Linked DNA regions of Drosophila melanogaster. The gene in region 3 interacts genetically with the main gene of each other region. Each region holds a gene or a part of one and is shown on either strand. Other genes may lie near its edges.

Region 1 (6,861 bases), 2.8 Mb from region 3:
TGGATGATTCGTGTCCTCTGGAGGACAGCATGGCTTTGCAGGACCTTTTTGCTAGCATAGACAGCCAAAAATACTTCACCTACCAAGGTGAGATGTTTCTTTTGGCTTTTGGATATCCATTCATACATATATGTTTTAGGTTCGCTTACTACTCCTCCCTGTGCCGAGGCAGTCATCTGGTTTGTTTTCCCGACTCCTCTCGATGTTCCCAAGGAGCTGGTAAGTAATCTAAACAGAAGTAGTTCCTTTTTGTGATATAAATCAACAGTGGAAGCACTTTTGGCAACTGAGGGACTCTCGTGACCAGCGCGTCCTTAACACCTACAGGGAACTGCAAGATGGCCATGACCGACCAGTTTATAGAAGTAAAGCAAAATAAGTGTTTTAGCCAAGTGAATATCATGTAATATGTATTGTCCAAGTCACATAGTGTATTAAAATTATTTTAAGTGCATTTGTTGTTTTATGCAAAAGCTTAGTCCAAGTGCTTGAATGGAAGCTTTTTGCCGGCCGCCAGCTGATGGCGCATCCACCCTTTCCCATTCCCGTTCCCAACCCCAAAGATGCGAAATTGCATTTGCTATTTGCGTAGCCAATTCAACTGGTGTCGGACAGATGTAATCCACGCCTAAATTGAACCACAAAATGAAGCGCCTGACTGAGCGAGTGCACCACGAGGAGCAGGAGTCCGAGGAGGTTGTCTGGGTTAAGCGGGATGACGCACGCTCCGCCGGCAAACTGCCCATCGTGTTCTCAAGGAACTATGCGGTTCGCTTCGGTGGCCTTGAACGCCTACATCCCTTCGATGCGGCCAAGGGCAAGCACATTCACAAGGTTCGTATGCATTTCCCGATCTCCTGAACTTTTATATACCAATCAATGGACCACAGCTCCTGTGCGCCCAACTGCAGCTCGACGACGGCAGCTTCTACGAACCCACGGAGCTGACCAAGGACCAGCTGCGTCGTATTCACACAAGGGAATACCTAAAGTCACTGCGCTGGAGCATGAATGTGGCCTGCATCGCTGAAGTGCCGCTGATGGCCTTCGTCCCGAATCGATACATTCAGCGTTCCTATTTGCGACCCATGCGCTTTCAAGCAGCCGGTTCCATTTTGGCCGGTAAGCTGGCATTGGATTATGGTTGGGCCATCAACCTGGGCGGTGGGTTCCATCACTGTTGCTCGTACAGAGGCGGTGGTTTCTGTCCATATGCTGACATCTCGCTGCTCATCGTCAGGCTGTTCGAGCAGGAACCATTCCGGGTGCGCCGCATAATGATTGTGGACCTGGATGCCCATCAGGGCAATGGGCACGAGCGGGACTTCAATAACGTGGCAGCCGTCTACATTTTCGACATGTACAATGCCTTTGTCTATCCGCGGGATCATGTGGCCAAGGAGAGCATTCGGTGTGCGGTGGAGCTGCGCAACTACACGGAGGATGGATTCTACCTGCGGCAACTAAAACGCTGCCTGATGCAGTCCCTGGCCGAGTTCCGTCCAGATATGGTCGTCTATAATGCGGGAACCGATGTGCTCGAGGGCGATCCATTGGGCAACCTGGCTATTTCCGCGGAGGGCGTTATTGAGCGGGATCGGTTGGTATTTAGTACATTTCGGGCATTAGGAATTCCGGTGGTGATGCTGCTGAGTGGTGGCTACTTGAAGGCATCCGCAGGGGTAATTACAGATTCGATTGTTAATCTTCGGCTTCAAGGATTGCTAAACTAAAGAAATTAAAAATATTTAAGACGATAATATCGTCAAAACTTCGGATTTTGCCAATTCTTACCATTCCCAAAAGTATTTCCACGATTTTAAGAGTATTGAAAATATCTTTTACACTAGTACAAATGGACTTCTTTGGTAAAGAGTTGAGATTAAACTACATCAATCGTTGGAATCTGAGAGCTGTGAATAATTGCCTTGAAAATAACCTAACTAGATAACAGGACATTGCTTTACACCTTATCAAAATTTATTAAACATATATAATTTAAAGTCGTTATAATAATTATTTGTCTTCTATGAAGTAATGATTTCAGATCATTAAGTTCAGTATCGCAATAGATGCAGAAGGTATAAATATTTCCAGTGATTTATAAGTTATAGCAGTTTCTTGTCAATATTTGTACAGACATCTCTTCCTTGGCATTATCAGAGGTTCAATTGGGTTGGTTAATCCTATGTACAATGCAAAAAGGGCCGGACAAGTGGAAAGAATTTTGTCGCAATTGGTTAAATGTCTATATATGATACAACGTAGTTGATAGAAGCTAATTTACTACTTTAAAATACAAAAATACATATAAATAAACGTTTGCTTAATGTTTTAAATAAGACGAGTTAGAATATCATTTTAGTGTCTTTGTTAAGTCTGTTTTTTGTTTTAGATCATATTCAGCAACCAATCATCTTCGGCACGTGATCAGATATTCTTTGAAGATTTAACAGGCTGTCGGCCGCGGCGATCTAAAAGGGCACAATCAGAAATTCTTAATCGATTGGTTTACAAGTAACGTTTAGTTTACGCATGCAGAAATCTATGGAATGAGCTGCTGAACGCGATGATTTCGTCGCTGTGGCAGTTGTGACATCAACCAAATAATCTAGAAACAATAAATTTCAAATAAATATTACAATACATAGAAACCAAACAAAATCTGAGCACTAAAGATGACATGAGTTTCCCAGTAATTGATGAGCAAACTGACGATGTACAAGTGGATGCATCTGAAGGGACTTACGCGGCATTGCTTGCCGGCAAATCCTCAAAGAGGACTTCCGATCGTGAGCTGATTATATACACCAAACAGAAGGATATTATCAGCACCACTATGCCAACGCTTAGAGTTGTGACCTGGTGCACATTGGACGGGCGCAGGAAGATGCGTGCACTGAACTGTGACCAGGTGGATTCAGTCCAAGTGGAATACATGCCGGAACTCCAATCGTAGCCTAATGAAAGTTTAATTGTAAAAATGTTTGCACAAGACAATAAAGGCATTTCAGGGCTAACCATCAATAAGAAAAGCTGGACTCAGGGCGTGACTGTAGTTCTGCGTGGTGAGGCGACACTCTCCGATATTGTTGAATCCGGCGAAATAGTGCAGCGGCAAGTCGGTGCAGTTATCTCTGTGAATGTCTGGCTGCAGTTGTGACAGGAGATAGCCCAGCAATCTATACGTATAGCCCGACGACTCTTGAGAGCCACCCAAGACGCTTATGTAGCTTGGGAAAAGAAAGGCTAGCAATAAATAAATCCAAGTATAGGCATGTTTATAGCTAACTTACCGCATCGGAGGCAAATTGGTGAGCTGACTGCCCGGATAAGATGCGGCCTTAAAGAGTGGGCAGTCCGCCGATTGCAGGAAACAGTAAAGGAACTCATCTGCCATCAGAGGGTTGGCCACCTTGGTGCCAGTGTACTCCTTTCCAGTTATTGTCTGATATAGGGCCATGGCCACAATAGAGGAAACGTTGCGCACTTTCATTTGCAGTGAATCTGGGTTCAAGCTTTTAAAGTCATTAACTTCCGTCAGCTGGGTGAAATCCTTGCTTGTGTTCGCATAGGTGAAGTCCACGTTATCCGCGTCATCGTATATGGAATGATAATACTTGTTCGTTGGACGAGCGTTTAGAATCAATGCATTGAAGTTTGGATCACGTCGCAGAAATGATTGCGCCGACGTAGGTGGTAAGTGAGCGCTCATCTCGGACTGAATGTTCAGGTTAAAGCCATAGCGTGGCGACTTCGCATAGTTATTTAGCCGCTCTAGAATTTGCTGAGCCAAAGTCGTTCCATTTAACGCATGCAGCTTAATATTCGATATGTCATCCAGTGTCCCGATGTCCAGCATGAAGTCAATATTGTCAAAGGCAATCGGAGGCGTGCCTGTGGATTCAGTAGGAAATTGAAGTTTCTCCATGTCGTATACAAATCTTTGAGAACCAATGTAGTCATAGGATTCGCCATTAAAAGTCACAAAGAGGACATTATGAAGGTCTTTGCTTTGCGGCGGAAGTAGTTGTTTTAATAGATACGCCACATGAGTGAAAACAGCAAATCCCATGAGGGAGTCCATGGCTCCAAGACCTGTGAATTGTAGAAATAAATCATGTAGTCGAAGTAGTAGTAATTCCACTACTTGAACTCACCGACGCCATCGAACATGGTGGTGGTGTCCAGGCGACAGGTTACTAATATGAACTTTTCATTCGTATGGACTGTCTCCAAGTTGTTTTCGATTGCTGGCTTTCGGGGGTACAAGGTGGCGTAAACATTCCGTCCCTCGAGCGGATCGCAGTACTTGCTTCCTCCAAGATTATTGATGAAGTTGGTGCGGCGCATACAGACCTCGGTGTTGACAGCGGCGGACATAAAGGACTTGACCTCGACGGCGCACAAGCTACGCAGCGCGTGCGTCTCGTAGTTATGGTTGTTAAAGTCCTGAAAGCACTTCTCTAGCTTGGTGACCTGATCCAAATCGGCTATGTAATAGATAGGAAAGGGAAAGTCCTCGTGCAGAAGTCCAGTGCCCCAGGGATTCCAGTTTTTGGCTGGATTGCTGGCGTCGCAGGTCTCACTGGTGCTGTTCAGGCCGCTGTACTGATTGGGGCAGTTGAGTTCGTGCGAGAACTGCTTCATCTGGTTCGTGCGGTTGATCAGCAGCACCACAGAAATGTTCTTTGGTCCGGCTTCCTTTAGGCGCATCAGGTTGTTACGTGTGAACAGGTGAGGTGGTATCATGGGGGCGTAAGGTGGAGATGGTGGGCTGCTAAGAAGAAATTCCAGGTCGGCCTCGACGTTTATTAGATGTAGTACGCCCACGGAACCGGAGTAGGTTGCTGAAAAGAAAGAATTATAGAGGATTTCAAGGTATATTCTCAATGGACTCACAGGAACAGCCTGTCTGATGGGTGCCATTCAGCCGTCGGAAACAGCTAGCTCCTCCAATGGGCTCGTACATCTTATCGCGGGTTCTTTCTCCTTGAGCTGTGGACAAAGAAAGTTCGGGTTAGATGACTCAGGTTATTTGGCCTATATTAAAAAGTGGGCGTGCGGGTTTTCGACGCCGGTCGCTACTGGAAGCTCCACTTTGTTTTCGTCCTGATTATTACCAATAGTTGCTCCATACGACAGTATTAACAGCCATATGGAAGCCGCATTCAGACGCATTTCCATCGAAGATTCCCACGAAATCGCGTCCAGAAATTGCAGTGTTGCGTGTGACCGTTTCGGTACAAAATACCATTGGCATTGAAAATGCGGGTATATACTATTTCAAACTCAAAAAATACCTTGCATAAAATATACCACAAAATATTGGCTCACTATTTAAAATTTTTTTTTTTAATAATAATTTATGAAATGTAGTGTAAGTTTTATTATCAATTATTATTATTATCAGTATTAACATTAAAAATATAAAATCAAAAGCAGTTTATCCGTTTTTCAGCATACTTATTATTTACCTAAACATGGTTATTGCTACAAAACATGTAAAAACTTAGCATCTATGGATCTAAAAGAGCGTGTCCTCGGCGCGAATATATTCGCCGATATCCGACTGATGAAAGCATACGGTGGTCATGGGATCGGCGGTCTTGCAGTCCGTTGTGGAACGCGCCAGTACGCCGAAGCCCAGAGGCAGGTCGTTCATGGAGTAGACCACCACGCCCTGGTACTGGCCGGCGTTCTCCGTGATGCGACCCAGTCCTGTTTTGGGTATGTGGTTGCCGTAGAGAAACTGCTGCTCGAAGGAGGGCTTCACCCACACCTTGTACTGGGCGTAGGGCGCCAAGTAGTAGAGGGCCGTGATATGGAACTTCAGTTTGTTGGTCTTGGAGAACTTGCCGAAGCAGGTGCCCACGCACACCAGCTGCTTGTAGCCGAAGCACTCGCTCAGCTTCAAAATCCGCTCCGAGACGTAGTAGACCCGATCCTTGTGCTCCCGAAAGCAATATGTTCCATCTGGCCGGTCAATCAAATGCTTCACATTTGTGCCAATGCTGTAAGAGCACTTGTTAGCTGCATTGCGATGATCTGTTTTGGGTACTCACTATTTGGACAGGTGCTCGAACAAGATCTTGGCACGTTCGTCGCTCAGGCGTTTCATTTTAAGTTAAATTAAGCGGAAAAAAGAGGAAAACAAACTGCTCAACTTTACACGTGAGAAATGTTTCAGTGTTGAGTAGGGACGGCTAACAGCACTGAATATATCGGTCTATCTATAGCTTTTATCGATAGCTTAAGAGTGCTGTATAGCGCCATTATCAAGTGTTGTATATTGCCCAAGTATTTAAATTCAAAATCAAATATATCTGATAAACAAAACTGAATAATAGTTTTAATTGATTTGAGTTAACCAATCTCACTGACTTTTACTCTTTCATGAAATAAACAAGATAAATTATTTTTGTTTGTTATTATTACGTAATTAAGAAATACACTTATTTGTTCACCTTACAATTTCTAATAGTTGTGTGCTCTGGATAATACTACACAATTAGTTTACAATCTATTTACAACGCCATAAATAATTAAAGCAAACACTTAGGCTAAATTATTTGTATCACGTGTTGAGGAGAATAAGCCAGTTAGGCCGTCTCGAGCCGCTTCTGCACATAGTTGCGCTCCTTGAGCAGCTCATCCAACTGCTGCTCCTGGTAGTAGACCACGAACTGGGCCGCCGACACGTGCTCGAAAATGGAGCAGATACTCGGTTTGAGGTTGTAGAAGAAGAGCAGTTGTCCTCGCTGATTGAAATCACTGATCAGCGAGTCTATAACCGTGGCCGTTGTGAAGTCAGCCCCGTAGACATGCGACGCATCTATGACCACTGGGACATTTTGCCTA
Region 2 (5,485 bases), about 19 Mb from region 3:
GATCTATTCCCTCAACATTGACAACCCCAGCGACTGCGCCAAAAAGTTCATATCGAACCACCAAGTAGGACTCATTCTCTTCCTCGGCATTGTTCTGGGCACCCTTCTGAAATCAGACGAAAGCAAGAAACAGCGACAATCCTCACTAACAACATCGACGGCCAGCTCGTACGTTCCAGCGCTGCCGCAAAAGCCAGAAGTTTTAAGCTGAGATGAGCCAGACGAGCGTAGATTGTAGTGTTAAATTATGTTTATAGCGCGCTTTTTGATTCGCCAAAACCAAAGTCTCTAGGTATCTGATTAGATAAAATCTTGTAAATAGGCTTATGACCATTTTTAGCTCATTTGCAATAGGTTAAGTCTTAAAGAATATTACTAAGTGCACACCTCACTTAAACATCAATTAATTCTTAATTGTAAGTGCCCGCCTTGACGTAAGAACTTACGTAAATCACCCATCCCCTGAGCCCTCCTAACCCATTTGAAAAGCAAACTGGTTTCTGTATTAAATTCTTACGTGTTATTTATTATTATTATACAGATTTTGGTTGTCTATTGAAATTCAAATACTCTTCAAATGTATTTACTTCATTCGTTTGTTGTTACGGCTAGGAAAAGTGCGTTACATAAAAGTAATGATAGAATATTAGTTTAGATCAAGTCAGCCACGTTCATGGGCATCTCGTCGATTTGTGTGGAGTAGTACTGCTCAATGTCGCGCAGGATGCGGATATCGTCCGATTTGACAAAGTTAATTGCAACACCTTTGCGTCCGAAACGACCAGAACGACCGATGCGATGGATGTACAGCTCACGGTTGTTGGGCAAATCGTAGTTGATGACCAGCGACACCTGCTGTACATCGATACCCCGAGCCCACACATCGGTGGTGATGAGCACTCGCGACTGGCCGGCTCGGAACTCCTTCATGATCTCGTCACGCTCCTTTTGCGGCATATCGCCGTGCATCGAGCTGACTGTAAAGTTAGCCTCGCGCATCTTCTCCGTCAGCCAGTCCACCTTGCGTTTCGTGTTGCAGAAGATGACGGCCTGGGTAATGGTCAGAGTATCGTACAGATCGCACAGGGTATCGAATTTCCATTCCTCGCGCTCCACGGCGACGAAGAACTGCTTGATGCCTTCCAGTGTCAATTCGTCACTGTGAGGGAATGGAATTTATGAATCATACTGCGTATATGGGGGAGCATCATATTGCTTACCGCTTGACCAAGATGCGAATCGGATCTGTCATAAATTTGGAGGTCATCTCGAGTATCTCGTGGGGCAAGGTAGCTGAGATGAGCACCACCTGGGTGGCTGGTGGCAAGTAGCGATACACATCGTATATCTGTTCCTTGAAACCCTTATTAAGCATCTCGTCAGCTTCGTCCAGCACTAGCATCTTGATGGCTCTATAAAATGTACTTATAATTATAATATTGTTTGATCGGGCACAATGAAACATACCTTGTTCGCAGCACTCGTCGCTTGATCATGTCGAAGACTCGTCCTGGAGTGCCGCTCACAATGTGTTGACCGTAGTCCAATTTGCGGATATCCTCGCCCAGGTTGGTGCCACCGATGCACACATGGCACTGGACATTCATCATGTCGCCGAGGGCAAGAATGACTTTCTGGATTTGCACAGCCAACTCGCGAGTGGGCGACAGGCACAGAACCTGCGTCTCCCGCAGCGTGGTGTCCAGGCTCTGCAGGATGGAGATGGAGAAGGTGGCGGTTTTGCCCGTGCCTGATTGTGCCTGGGCAATCACATCCCGTCCCTTGACGATAGGCGTAATGCTCCTTTGCTGAATGGCCGAGGGTTTCTCGAAGCCTTGGGAGTGCAGAAAACTGGATTAGTTCTAGACCGGCCATAGGTATACACACCACTCACCGTACGCGTAGATGCCGCGTAGCAGCTCCTCCTTTAGATTCATGGCGTTGAATGTGGGTATCACCTCCACATCCTCGCTCGTCTCGAACTCCACGTTGGAGAGGTCCTCCGCCTGGGCATTCTTGCGCGCCATGTTCACGATTTGTTCGCGTGCGGTTTCGGCTGATATTAATAAATATTTACAGTCTTTTTCGGCTAATTTTTCTGACTTTCACAGAAAAAAATGCGGTCCGCTTACTAGGGGTGGCCTATCAATTGCTTAGCAACAATCGATTATTGAATCGGCGTCGATTTAATTTGATATCGATATGTTTTCACTTATTTTGCGACAAGTGGCAACACTGATATCGGGCGGAAAAAATTTAAAGTGAATATATGTTCTTATTTATTGTATTTTATAAAATATAAATATGATTATTGCCATAACAAACAAGAAACTCAACTTGTTTTTTCCGGAGTGCTACTTCTTCTCCTGCGCAGGAAGTTCTCGAGCGACTGAAGATCCTTTCGCTTCAGCATCTTAATCCTGCTCACCAGTTTTTGCAAAGCTTCGATCCGTTGCTGTGCTTCCTTGGCGGCGTCGTTGGCCTTCTTAGCGCTCTGCTTATTTCGCTCCAGATCCTTCTGAGCCTCGCACATGCAGCTATGGAGCTCTTCCACCCGCATCCTGGCCGCTTTCAGAAGGCTGCGCTTTTCCAGGGCCTCTTTCTGGGCACTGTCGGCCATCCTCCGGATGTTATCGAGATTTCCGCCCATTTCCTTTAGCATACTCTTCATAATGTTCACGGATGTGCAGAGCTTGTCACGGATCCCCTTTGCCGACGTCGCCGAGCACGAGCTGGCAGCAATGGCTCGTTGGATTTCCTCGATAACCCTGTTCGTTTCTGCCAGACTTTTGGTGTATTCATCGAGGAGCTGCTTCTTCCCGTTGAGAGCCGCCTCCGCAGCCTTGGCCGCCTGCAACGCCCTGTCCGCCAGCATTTCCCGTGCCCTGTAGCCCGCCATCTCCGCGGCACATGGCTGCGCATCCTTGGCGTCCTTCGCATCCTTGGCCGCCTTCGAGGCCACCTGGCTGGCTTTCATGCTCGTCTTGCAGGGAAGGGAGCCGGGCTTGAAACGCGGATCATTCCGCTGGGCAGGATGCGCGGCGGTCGACAGCAGGATGTTCGAAAGAAGCAACATCGTAACCAGGGAGTCGCAACGCATTGGGAATCTTGCATCGTACATAAATCTCAAGGCTCATCAGGAAATCGAAATGTGGAGATAATAATGGGAATATAGCAGCTCCACCTTTCAAATCACTATTATTTGAAATATTTGTACAGTAACCACAAGTTACCTGGAGTATATATTTCTTAAATATCTTTAGAAATCCGTTTAATACAACTATTTCGAGTTAAGCATGGAGATAGCACGAATCGCATTTCTACTTTTCTTCCTGTTCTCAGATCATTCTGCGGGCCACAAGTTGCCGCAGTCCTCCAATGAGATAGCTGCTCTAATGTCGGATCATCATGGTGATGGCGACAACAGTGTGTCGTCATCCTCCGGCGGTGCCCCGTGCGACTTCAAGATGAATGGAAAGACCAGGGTAAAGGCCTCATGCATTGCGCAGAAGGCGGCCAAGGAAGCCATGGAGGCATCCGATGCCCAGATAGAGGCTGGCGAGGCAGCTGCCCGCCAGGTGAAGCAGCAACTGGCCGACAAAGCGCTGGCCGCAGCCAAGGCGGCAGAAGCTGCTCTGGCCGGCAAGCAACAGATTGTCGAGCAACTGGAGTCCGAGGTGCGCGAGGGGGAGCTAGTGGTCCAGGAGGAGAGCACCTTGTTACAGACCACCCAAACTACTTATGCTGCGGCCGGGCAAGCGGCCAAACAGGCGGCAGATCAGCTGAACACCATTACGCTGGCGGTGAAGAATGCGCAGGATAATGTGGTCAACTCGGAGCACGTGGCCAGTGGCGCTCAGCAGGAGCTGGGCGAGAAGCAACAGCTTGTGGAAGCGGCCAAGAAGCGGGTGGAGCTATTGCTCCGCCAGCTGGAGGTGGCCCGTGTGGATTTCAAGAATACCAAAAACGCCGCCGAGAAGGCAGCCTGTGCTGCCCAGGAGGCCAGGCATAGGGCCACCAGGGAGCGCAGGAGGGCGGAACTGAGGCACTTACTCTGGCTGAAGAGGGGGCGCACCAACTGAAGCCAATAACTTGTATATCTTATATTTTATTTTACTTTGCATTTTCAAAAGGGAGAATATAATTCAGTTTTATTAAATTCAATAGTTCGTAGGTGAGATCACAATTATAAACTACAAATTGTGACATCAAGTTTATCATGATGCAATTGGGGATTACGGGGCGTATACTCAACACACCTCGCTAAGCTTCCGAACACTCCTCCGTGTTCACACGCGGATCTGCGAGGAAGCGAACAATCATCGGACTTCATCGGTCTTTCGTCATATGCAATCTCTCCCGGAGCGGGCATTTAAAGCGTCTCATGGCAATTAGACGCTCTGCCATAATTGCGGCTACAAATTATCCAATCGAGCAGCCGCCTGGTAGCATTGACCCAGCACCATCGTTGTTGGATGATGGTGCATGGCCAGCTCGCGAGGAAAACCAACAGCCAACGGGTTTGCACTTTCTTTCGGCGACCCGACCAGTTCGTTTATAAATACATGGCGCCTCTGGTGGCCAACTGGCAATCGTCGTTGAGTCTCCACCGGATTTACTGCGCCCACTTGCCGCTCCCCCAGCCACCAGCCTCCAGCTCTACCTGTTGCGCGCTCCTAGCTTCATCTAGTGCGAAAGTAAAAGCGTTTTTCACCGAACTCGTCCATCCACATTGACTCCGCTTGGCGGGCGATCCTCCACTCGAGTCATAAGCATTTTATCTCTGGTCCGCACAGGACGTTCGTGTCGGTCAAGTCCAAGTCCAAGTCGAGATCGAGATCGAGAGGTGCGTTGGTGTCAAAACTGAGTGATTGGTGTGTGCCTTGTGTGCAGTGTCCAGTTTGGCTGCGCTTCAAACTAAACAGGTTCTCTCGTGGAACATATCATTCCGTGACCCACTAACGACTTACCGGCCATCCTAGAGCAAAGAAAGTGCCGCACCATAAAATATTAGCTAATAGGCAAAGCGGCTATGTAACCGGTTGCCCAATGATTATGCACTCGCAAAAGGTGTCCTTCAGATGTGAAGATATTTTTAATGCAGAATGAAGTGGTACATTTCGTAACAAGTTTATTTTAGTGAGATGCAATCAACAACTAACTAGCTAACTAAACTGAAAAGCATATACATACGTGAAAAACAATGAAGAAACTTTTCCCCAATTAAAAACGGAAATTTGTTTTCTTTCAGCACTCGGCGTGCGACAGAGGAACCCAAAAGCTTGCGCCTGCGGTGATCACGAGTCTTCCGGTTGTGCGACTTCCTTTCGCCAGCTGCTCCATTGCATAATCGCCAGAGATGCCATCGCTGCTGCACCTGCTGCTCCTGGCGCTGTTTTTGGGTGAGTCGCACATGACTTCCTCATGCAAATGTGGCTAAATTGGGACTTTGATTTAGTGGCCATGCCGACGCAGGGTCGCAAGA
Region 3 (6,550 bases):
TAATTGACTGTATAATTTTCGAAGAGTCTGGCGCGCCACATTCACCACTCGCTGGAGTTTTGGGATCTGACTAGAAAGTCCAGCATCAAACCGCTCTCCTCGAACGGCGGTAAAATAAAGTACTCCTCCGCGCTGTACAAGCACTTCTTCTCCACGTGCCGTGTGCCAGGCGAGGAGCAGGATCATATAGAGAAGCATTTTCTCACCAAGGATGAGGGCAAAACGCCGAGTCACATGCTTATTTCCGGCAAGGGACGTCAGTTCATCTTCGATTGTGTGCACGAGGACGACACTATCCTATCGGCTCCCGAAATCCTCGTGGCCCTGCAAAGAGTGCGCAGCATCCTCGACTACGAGCCGTTGGGCGATTGTGTGCCCACCCTGAGCCATGACGAACGCTCCACGTGGGCACGCAACCGCAACCGTTTGAGGGAAATCTCAGTTGCAAACAAGGAGACGCTGCTTCTGGTGGAGAGCGCATGTATGGAGATCTGCTGGTACGAGCAATCGCCCAAGGACTACGAGGAGTCCTGCCAGCTGGGTCTCTACGGTGATCTCCATTCCCGCTGGGCAGACCGCAGCAGCAGCATCATCGCCTTCCGCAACGGACGCTGCAACTGGACGGGTGAGCACAGCTGCTACGATGGCACGGTCAGCATAAGTTACGCCACATTCATGCAACTGAGCTTCCTGGAGGTGCCAGAGCCAGACTGGGCAGAGGCCGAAAAAGGCAATGTTTTGGAGGTCAAGGAGCTGCACTTCCAGCTGGATGATACGCTCAAGAACGAGATCAAGCGCGTGCAGAAGGATATTGATGACAGGGTAGGCAAAACGCCTTTTTCCGAAACCTGTTATTGAACTAGTTAATCCTTTTGTATGTGGTATCCTTAGGGTATTGACGTTACTGTGACCTTCACTGCGTTCGATGACTACGGCAAGGACTTTATGAAAACCCATCGACTGCATCCAGACTCCTTTGTTCAGGTGGTCATGCAGTGGGCCTACTACCAAATGCATAAAGAGTGAGTTCACCTCTGGACTAAAAAAAACAGCACTAACAACACTCCATGGATATCCAACAGAATTGCTCCCACATATGAGACTGCTCTGATGCGACAGTACTACAATGGACGAACAGAGACCCTGCGATCATGCACTTCCGCTGTGGCTGAATTCCTGAGGGCGTCATCCAACAAGCAGGTTGGCGATATGTCACTGGCCAGGGCGTTCCGTAGGGCAGTCGATGAGCACAAGCACTTCATGAACGAGGCGCGCAAGGGACACGGCATCGATAGGCACTTGTTTGGCCTGTGGTGCGCGGCGTATGAAAGCAAAATGGACATTCCCGCCTTCTACGACGATCCGATGTACACCAAGAGCGGCGGAGGAGGTAACTTTGTGCTCTCGTCCAGCACGCTGGGCTTCACGGCCAACGTTGGTTTCGTGGCGCCCATGGTCTTCGATGGCTATGGCGTCTTTTACTCCATCACCTCGGAAGCGTAAGCTAGACACTCCTCCATTATCTTGAATTGTTCTTTAATTTCGTACATTCTAGTGTGTTCATTAATACCACCGCCTATCGGGATAGCCTAAAGACAAGCGCTCGCAAGTTCAACGACATTTTCAAGGACTCATTCCGCCGCATCAGCGTTCTCCTGGAACAATTGGCCAAGGAATCCAAGCTATGAAAAGCTCATCTAGTATTAAGAAAAGATCTAATCTTACTTTATGTCGTCATTGAAATTCAGTTCTCATTTTTAGTTCCAATCAGAAAGTAGATTTTTGGTTTTTCTTTCCATTTTGTTTCAATTAGCACAATTACCTAGATTTTAACGAACAGTCGAATTTAAATATTTTTTATTTGAAATTGGATCCCTAGTTCAACCCACCTTTCACCGGAAACTAAGTGAAAACGCAGACTTCGTTGGTAGTTTGTAGTTTGACAGAAAGGGTGTGCAGCATTTGTAACTTCGTGTTAAACGTTTATTTAAATTCAATGATCGATTAGTTTTTGCAAATACATTTCTCTCGGTAATTCTTGTGTTTCAATTCTAAAATGCGGCTAAATAAGCTAAGCGCCCAGCCGCTTCAATACGTTAGCCGGCCCTAGATACTACGTACAAATTAATTGGAGCTTGCGCCGGATTACAATATATATATATATAATCGTCTATATACGAAAACTTTTCGTTAGTAATTTCGATTATCTGGGAGCTAAATGCTAATTACAAGTGGTTCTCACTGCGTTTCTTTATTTATGCAGTACTTTTTGAGTCGCAGACCCAAGGACAGAATGGGGGAAAAAAAATCGTATGAGTTGAGTTAGGAGCTGGGCTGTCCGCACTAGTGCGGCGGGGGCGGAGGTCGATAGTAGCCAGCGTGCGGCTGCAGCATTGAGTAGCCGGAGGAGGGCGGCGGCGCTATCCGTTGGCCTCGTCTCTGCTGCTGCTGTGGCGGCAAGCCGGCGTACGCCTGCACTCATTCCTGCCCAGTGGCCGGAACTGGCTGAAGGTTCTGCTCGGCAGCCGGTGGAGTGGCTGCCGCCTCTTCCTTTGTTCCCCCACCTGGAGTTGCGCCTTCGCCGGTAGCCTGGAAGGCCGAAGGTCGCTGCACGAACATGTTGTCAATGATGTGATCTATGTTGTCCGAGATGCCCTCCTCCTTCGCTCCACCCTTGACCTTATGCTTTTCGGAGGGCGGGAGAATGGGAATCGCGTTGGTGGGACGACGCTGGGGCAGAGCACTTGGTCGGCTAGTGGTTTGAGCCGGCGGTACAAAGTAGGTTGTGCCACCGACCGTGTTGTAGTTCTGATACGGCTGAGCCGGCTGCGTTGCGGGCGGCGCCTGAGCGGGCGGCGGTGTGGGTTGTGTTACAACCGGAGGCCCTGCTTGGGCGTACGCCACGGCAGCCGGAGTGGTTGGCAAGTAAGCGGCACTAGCCGGATTAACATACGGTGCCTGGGGAACGGGCACTGGAACTGGCTCCGTTCCGGTCACATAGTACGGTGCCGCCTGTGCTTGCGGATATGCGGCTGCCGGCGGGGCATGTGGCTTTGGTGGTGTTGGAACTGCTCCTGCGGCAGTAGGTGGTCCAAGTTGCATGGTCTGCAGTTGGGCCTGCAGCTCCTGTTGCTGATAGGCGATCTGCATCAGAACATGGGGGTCCTGAATCATGATCTGCGATTGTTGCTGCTGCTGTTGCTGTTGAAGATGCAACTGCTGCTGCATCTGCTGTTGCTGCTGCTCAGCCAAGTGCTGTGATGCCTCCTGCTGTGAGCGACGCAAGCTGGAGTAGCGCTTGGGCGCATTTCGTTGTTCCTGATGCAGTGGCTGCTGCTGCTGCTGCTGAGGCGCCTGATTTTGGCTAGCCAGAGAATGCATCTGGACACTGCCCACATGGCTGGGATCATTGCGTTGCTGCACCTGCTGGAGCCGCTGCGAAAGGTTCGACGTGGAAAGCGGCGTCTGTGGAGACTGCTGCGGCTGGGACGGCTGTCGTTGCTGCTGTGGCTGTTGCTGATGATGAGGTTGCTGCTGCGGCTGTTGTTGTTGGTTGGAGCGTGGAGTGGATGGCTTCTGGTTACGGTTGTCCAGTTGGTCTGGCCCCCGCTCCCGCTCTCTTAGCTGCTGTCCACGGTTGTTCTTCTTAAATTCCATGCCATTCTGACGTCCGGGGCCGCCGTTCATCCGCCCGAAGTTGCGATTCTTGGGCTCTCGATCGCGTTCCCGCTCCCTTTCCCTCTCACGTTCACGCTCCTGGGATCTGTGTGGATTGGAGCTACTGGCCAAGGGCTGTTGCTTCTCTGGAACCAAGCCTTCAGCAGCGACGGACCGTCGGTTTTCCTTTTCCTCACGCGAGGATGATGTTCGTGGACCACGTGGCTTTCTTTCGTTGAGCGCCGGGAAGTCCTGTGGCCGCGGCGGCTTGCGCTCCTTATTGCTGGCTTTGAGGTAGGCCTGCTCGTCCTCCCAGTTTCTTGAGTATTTACTAGGCCCACGCGTATATCGCCGGCGACGTCTGGCTCTGGGTGGTGCGTCCTCGTTTCTAATGTCGTAGCCGTATGTTTGCAGCAACTCTGCACGGGATTTGGGAGCCTGCTCCGTGGCCTCGAATCGATCGTGAGACCAGCGATCACCGCCTGAAGCTGGTTGCCATTTTCGCATGGTCTTCGATGCCTGTGAGATCTGTGGCGTTTGGCCAGTCGGCGTGGCACCGGCGGCCGCAAGTCCATTGAGTTCGCCATTTGGCTCCGCCGCCGCCTGGCCAGCACCGTTTTCGGGTTCGATCAGGATTTCTCCCTCGGTCTCCGCCGTCCGATCGTCGTGCTCGTAGAAAGTGCCCCGCTTTGGGATGTACTGCGGATTGCTGCGATCCTCGTCCACCTTCTTCTGGGCCTCACTGTCTGCGACGGAGCGGTCCATCGCCTGCTCCCCTTCGCCATCGTCCGTTTCGCTGCCCACCTCATCGTCCTCGTCGTCCGTCTCAGATTCCTCCTCGCTCCCACTGCCACTGGCGCTGCCGCTGGCACTCTCCTCGTCGTCATAGTCCTCTCCGCCCTCCAGATCACTGGCCGTGTCGTACTCGGAGTCGTGCGGATGCGAATTGGAGTTGGGCTCCTGGGTGGGCGAGGTGCCCGGCTCGACGTCCACGGTGGTATCCGCTGTGGGCGTTACAGCCACTGGCGCCTCGCTGGCAGGTGCAGCCGTGGCCTGGGGGATGTCGGTCGGGGGCGTGGCCGCCGTTGGTTTCTCCACTTCGGCCATCGCGGGGTCTCTTCGGTTTTCTGCCTCGCTACTGCTGCTGCTGCTTCTTCTGCGGAATGACATAGAACGGGATTCTAGGTGTCACTGGGATATCCAAGCCAGGGCTCCGTATATCAACTCACGTGCGAATTCTTGACAAGGCCTAACTACTCTAGTAAGCGTGCTTCTTGTTACGGTAAATTCTAAGAAAAAACCAATAATTTCGCACAATTTTCTCGACAACAACGCAATCAGAAAATAGAAAGTCTAGGGTTACCTTTCTCTCGCCGCAGAGATGCCACACTGTTGAAAACGTAACGACAGGGCGAGAAACGTAGCAATGTGCATACGTATTGAAATAGTGGCAGCTCTGGTAGTTACCGGTTCATGTTAGTAATAAAAAACATATAGAACATAGAACATAGAAAAAATATTCTATTACTTTTTTTTAATAGTTTACAATATTAAGTATCTTTGACAAAAATTCACCTTTGAAGTATAGAACTAAATCCTTAGTATTTCTTTAGTGGCTATCGAAAACGGTATCGACGGCTGGACATCGCTGGCCAGCTGTTGTAGGGGAAGGAAAGAGAGCGTAAAGCGGAGTTCGAATAGAGCGACAGACGATTAATTAATATCACTTGGAATCAGAAGTCGGACAAGAAGCAGACTCCGCAGAACAGGAAAAGATGTCGAAGTTTCTGGGCGTGCCGCTGAAGAAGCCGTCGGAGGTGGATGTGATCAAGCCGCTGAACAATCTCATCCAGAGCACCTACAACGGTGCGTCGGAGGAGGAGAAGGGCAAGTACGGAGAGGCCGTCAACGAATTTTCGAAACAACGCAATACGGCAATTTGGAAATTCTTTGAAAAGTACGAGGCTTCGCTGGAGATTGTGTACGCGTAAGTACCACCATGTCTTTGTGGCCTTCTTCCGGGAATCTCCCGATGAGTCACCCGCACAACGGGGCAGCTAATCACACCCATTCCATTCGATTCGATTCCACCTGGTGCTTCTGTATTGGTGTGGTGGTCAGACGTAAACAAGCTCTCGGATGACGTAGTCGTTAACTAAATGTTTTGCCTCCGGGTTTTGTTGCCTGCTCTGTATTTCCAGCTATTATGACCAGATTTGTGCGCTGGAGACCAAGATATCGGTTAGCGAACTTCAGATACCCTTTAAGTGGAAGGATGCCTTCGACAAGGGCTCCATTTTCGGCGGCAAGATCAGCCTGAGTGAGTGATTCATTGCCATGTGCCAAGTATATTTCACCACTAACCCAACGGCATCCACCATCCACAGCTCACACCTCCTTGCTTTACGAGAAGGTCTGTGTGCTCTTCAACATTGCCGCCCTGCAGAGCAACATCGCTGCCAACCAGTCCCTGGATTCGGATGACGGCCTTAAGCTGACCATCAAACTGCTCCAGCAGAGCGCCGGCATCTTTCAGTATTTGAAGGGAGCGACGCCAGCGGCAGTGCCCTCGGAACCCACGCCCGATCTCAGCCAGGATACGCTAACCGTGCTGCAGGCTCTGATGGTCGCCCAAGCGCAGGAGGTTTTCATTCTGAAGGCAATTAAGGGTATGTAAAATTAATTCACAAAGAGCACGAACACCGTTCACATTTAAATGCTTATCTATGAGCAAAATTTAGTTGTTTACATTGGGCGATAAACTATTTTATCAGGTAAAAGCGTCTTTGGCATACAATAAAAGCACTCAATGCAATATTTTTCGGACAAAGCTTATCCGAAGATATTACTTTTGATACGTGGGGACATTACCCAGTTATTTCCTTTGAAATTA

The links.
Region 1: of btz (region 3) and Nct, changing one enhances a phenotype caused by changing the other (phenotypic enhancement), as found in Drosophila melanogaster (one study listed by BioGRID).
Region 2: of btz (region 3) and CG7483, changing one enhances a phenotype caused by changing the other (phenotypic enhancement), as found in Drosophila melanogaster (one study listed by BioGRID).

Annotation. Positions count from the first base shown.
Region 1 is NT_033777.3:24,849,975-24,856,835, reverse strand, and holds Nct (nicastrin), read right to left. Parts: upstream 5,236-6,861; 5' UTR 5,188-5,235; coding exon 5,124-5,187; intron 4,999-5,123; coding exon 4,903-4,998; intron 4,851-4,902; coding exon 4,161-4,850; intron 4,099-4,160; coding exon 3,297-4,098; intron 3,234-3,296; coding exon 3,022-3,233; intron 2,961-3,021; coding exon 2,750-2,960; coding exon of another isoform or gene 2,746-2,749; exon of another isoform or gene 2,612-2,745; coding exon of another isoform or gene 2,599-2,611; exon of another isoform or gene 2,475-2,598; coding exon 2,450-2,474; 3' UTR 1,967-2,449; downstream 1-1,966. Other genes in the region: CAH4 (carbonic anhydrase 4), read left to right, coding at 1-87, 140-219, 269-379; HDAC11 (histone deacetylase 11), read left to right, coding at 646-834, 891-1,733; CG7006 (uncharacterized protein), read right to left, coding at 5,528-6,014, 6,066-6,121; Esp (epidermal stripes and patches), read right to left, coding at 6,603-6,861. UniProt on the Drosophila melanogaster protein: Essential subunit of the gamma-secretase complex, an endoprotease complex that catalyzes the intramembrane cleavage of integral membrane proteins such as Notch.
Region 2 is NT_033777.3:8,309,880-8,315,364, reverse strand, and holds CG7483 (uncharacterized protein), read right to left. Parts: upstream 2,158-5,485; 5' UTR 2,028-2,157; coding exon 1,895-2,027; intron 1,835-1,894; coding exon 1,468-1,834; intron 1,413-1,467; coding exon 1,221-1,412; intron 1,160-1,220; coding exon 652-1,159; 3' UTR 501-651; downstream 1-500. Other genes in the region: Coq2 (coenzyme Q biosynthesis protein 2), read left to right, coding at 2-211; CG11698 (uncharacterized protein), read right to left, coding at 2,333-3,121; CG11694 (uncharacterized protein), read left to right, coding at 3,297-4,082; CG11693 (uncharacterized protein), read left to right, coding at 5,360-5,402, 5,459-5,485. UniProt on the Drosophila melanogaster protein: ATP-dependent RNA helicase. Core component of the splicing-dependent multiprotein exon junction complex (EJC) deposited at splice junctions on mRNAs. Involved in exon definition of genes containing long introns, including the rolled/MAPK gene.
Region 3 is NT_033777.3:27,698,862-27,705,411, reverse strand, and holds btz (barentsz), read right to left. Parts: upstream 4,988-6,550; 5' UTR 4,828-4,987; coding exon 2,479-4,827; coding exon of another isoform or gene 2,344-2,478; 3' UTR 1,967-2,343; downstream 1-1,966. Other genes in the region: CROT (carnitine O-octanoyltransferase), read left to right, coding at 25-822, 892-1,022, 1,083-1,499, 1,556-1,688; ALiX (ALG-2 interacting protein X), read left to right, coding at 5,433-5,644, 5,859-5,977, 6,045-6,326.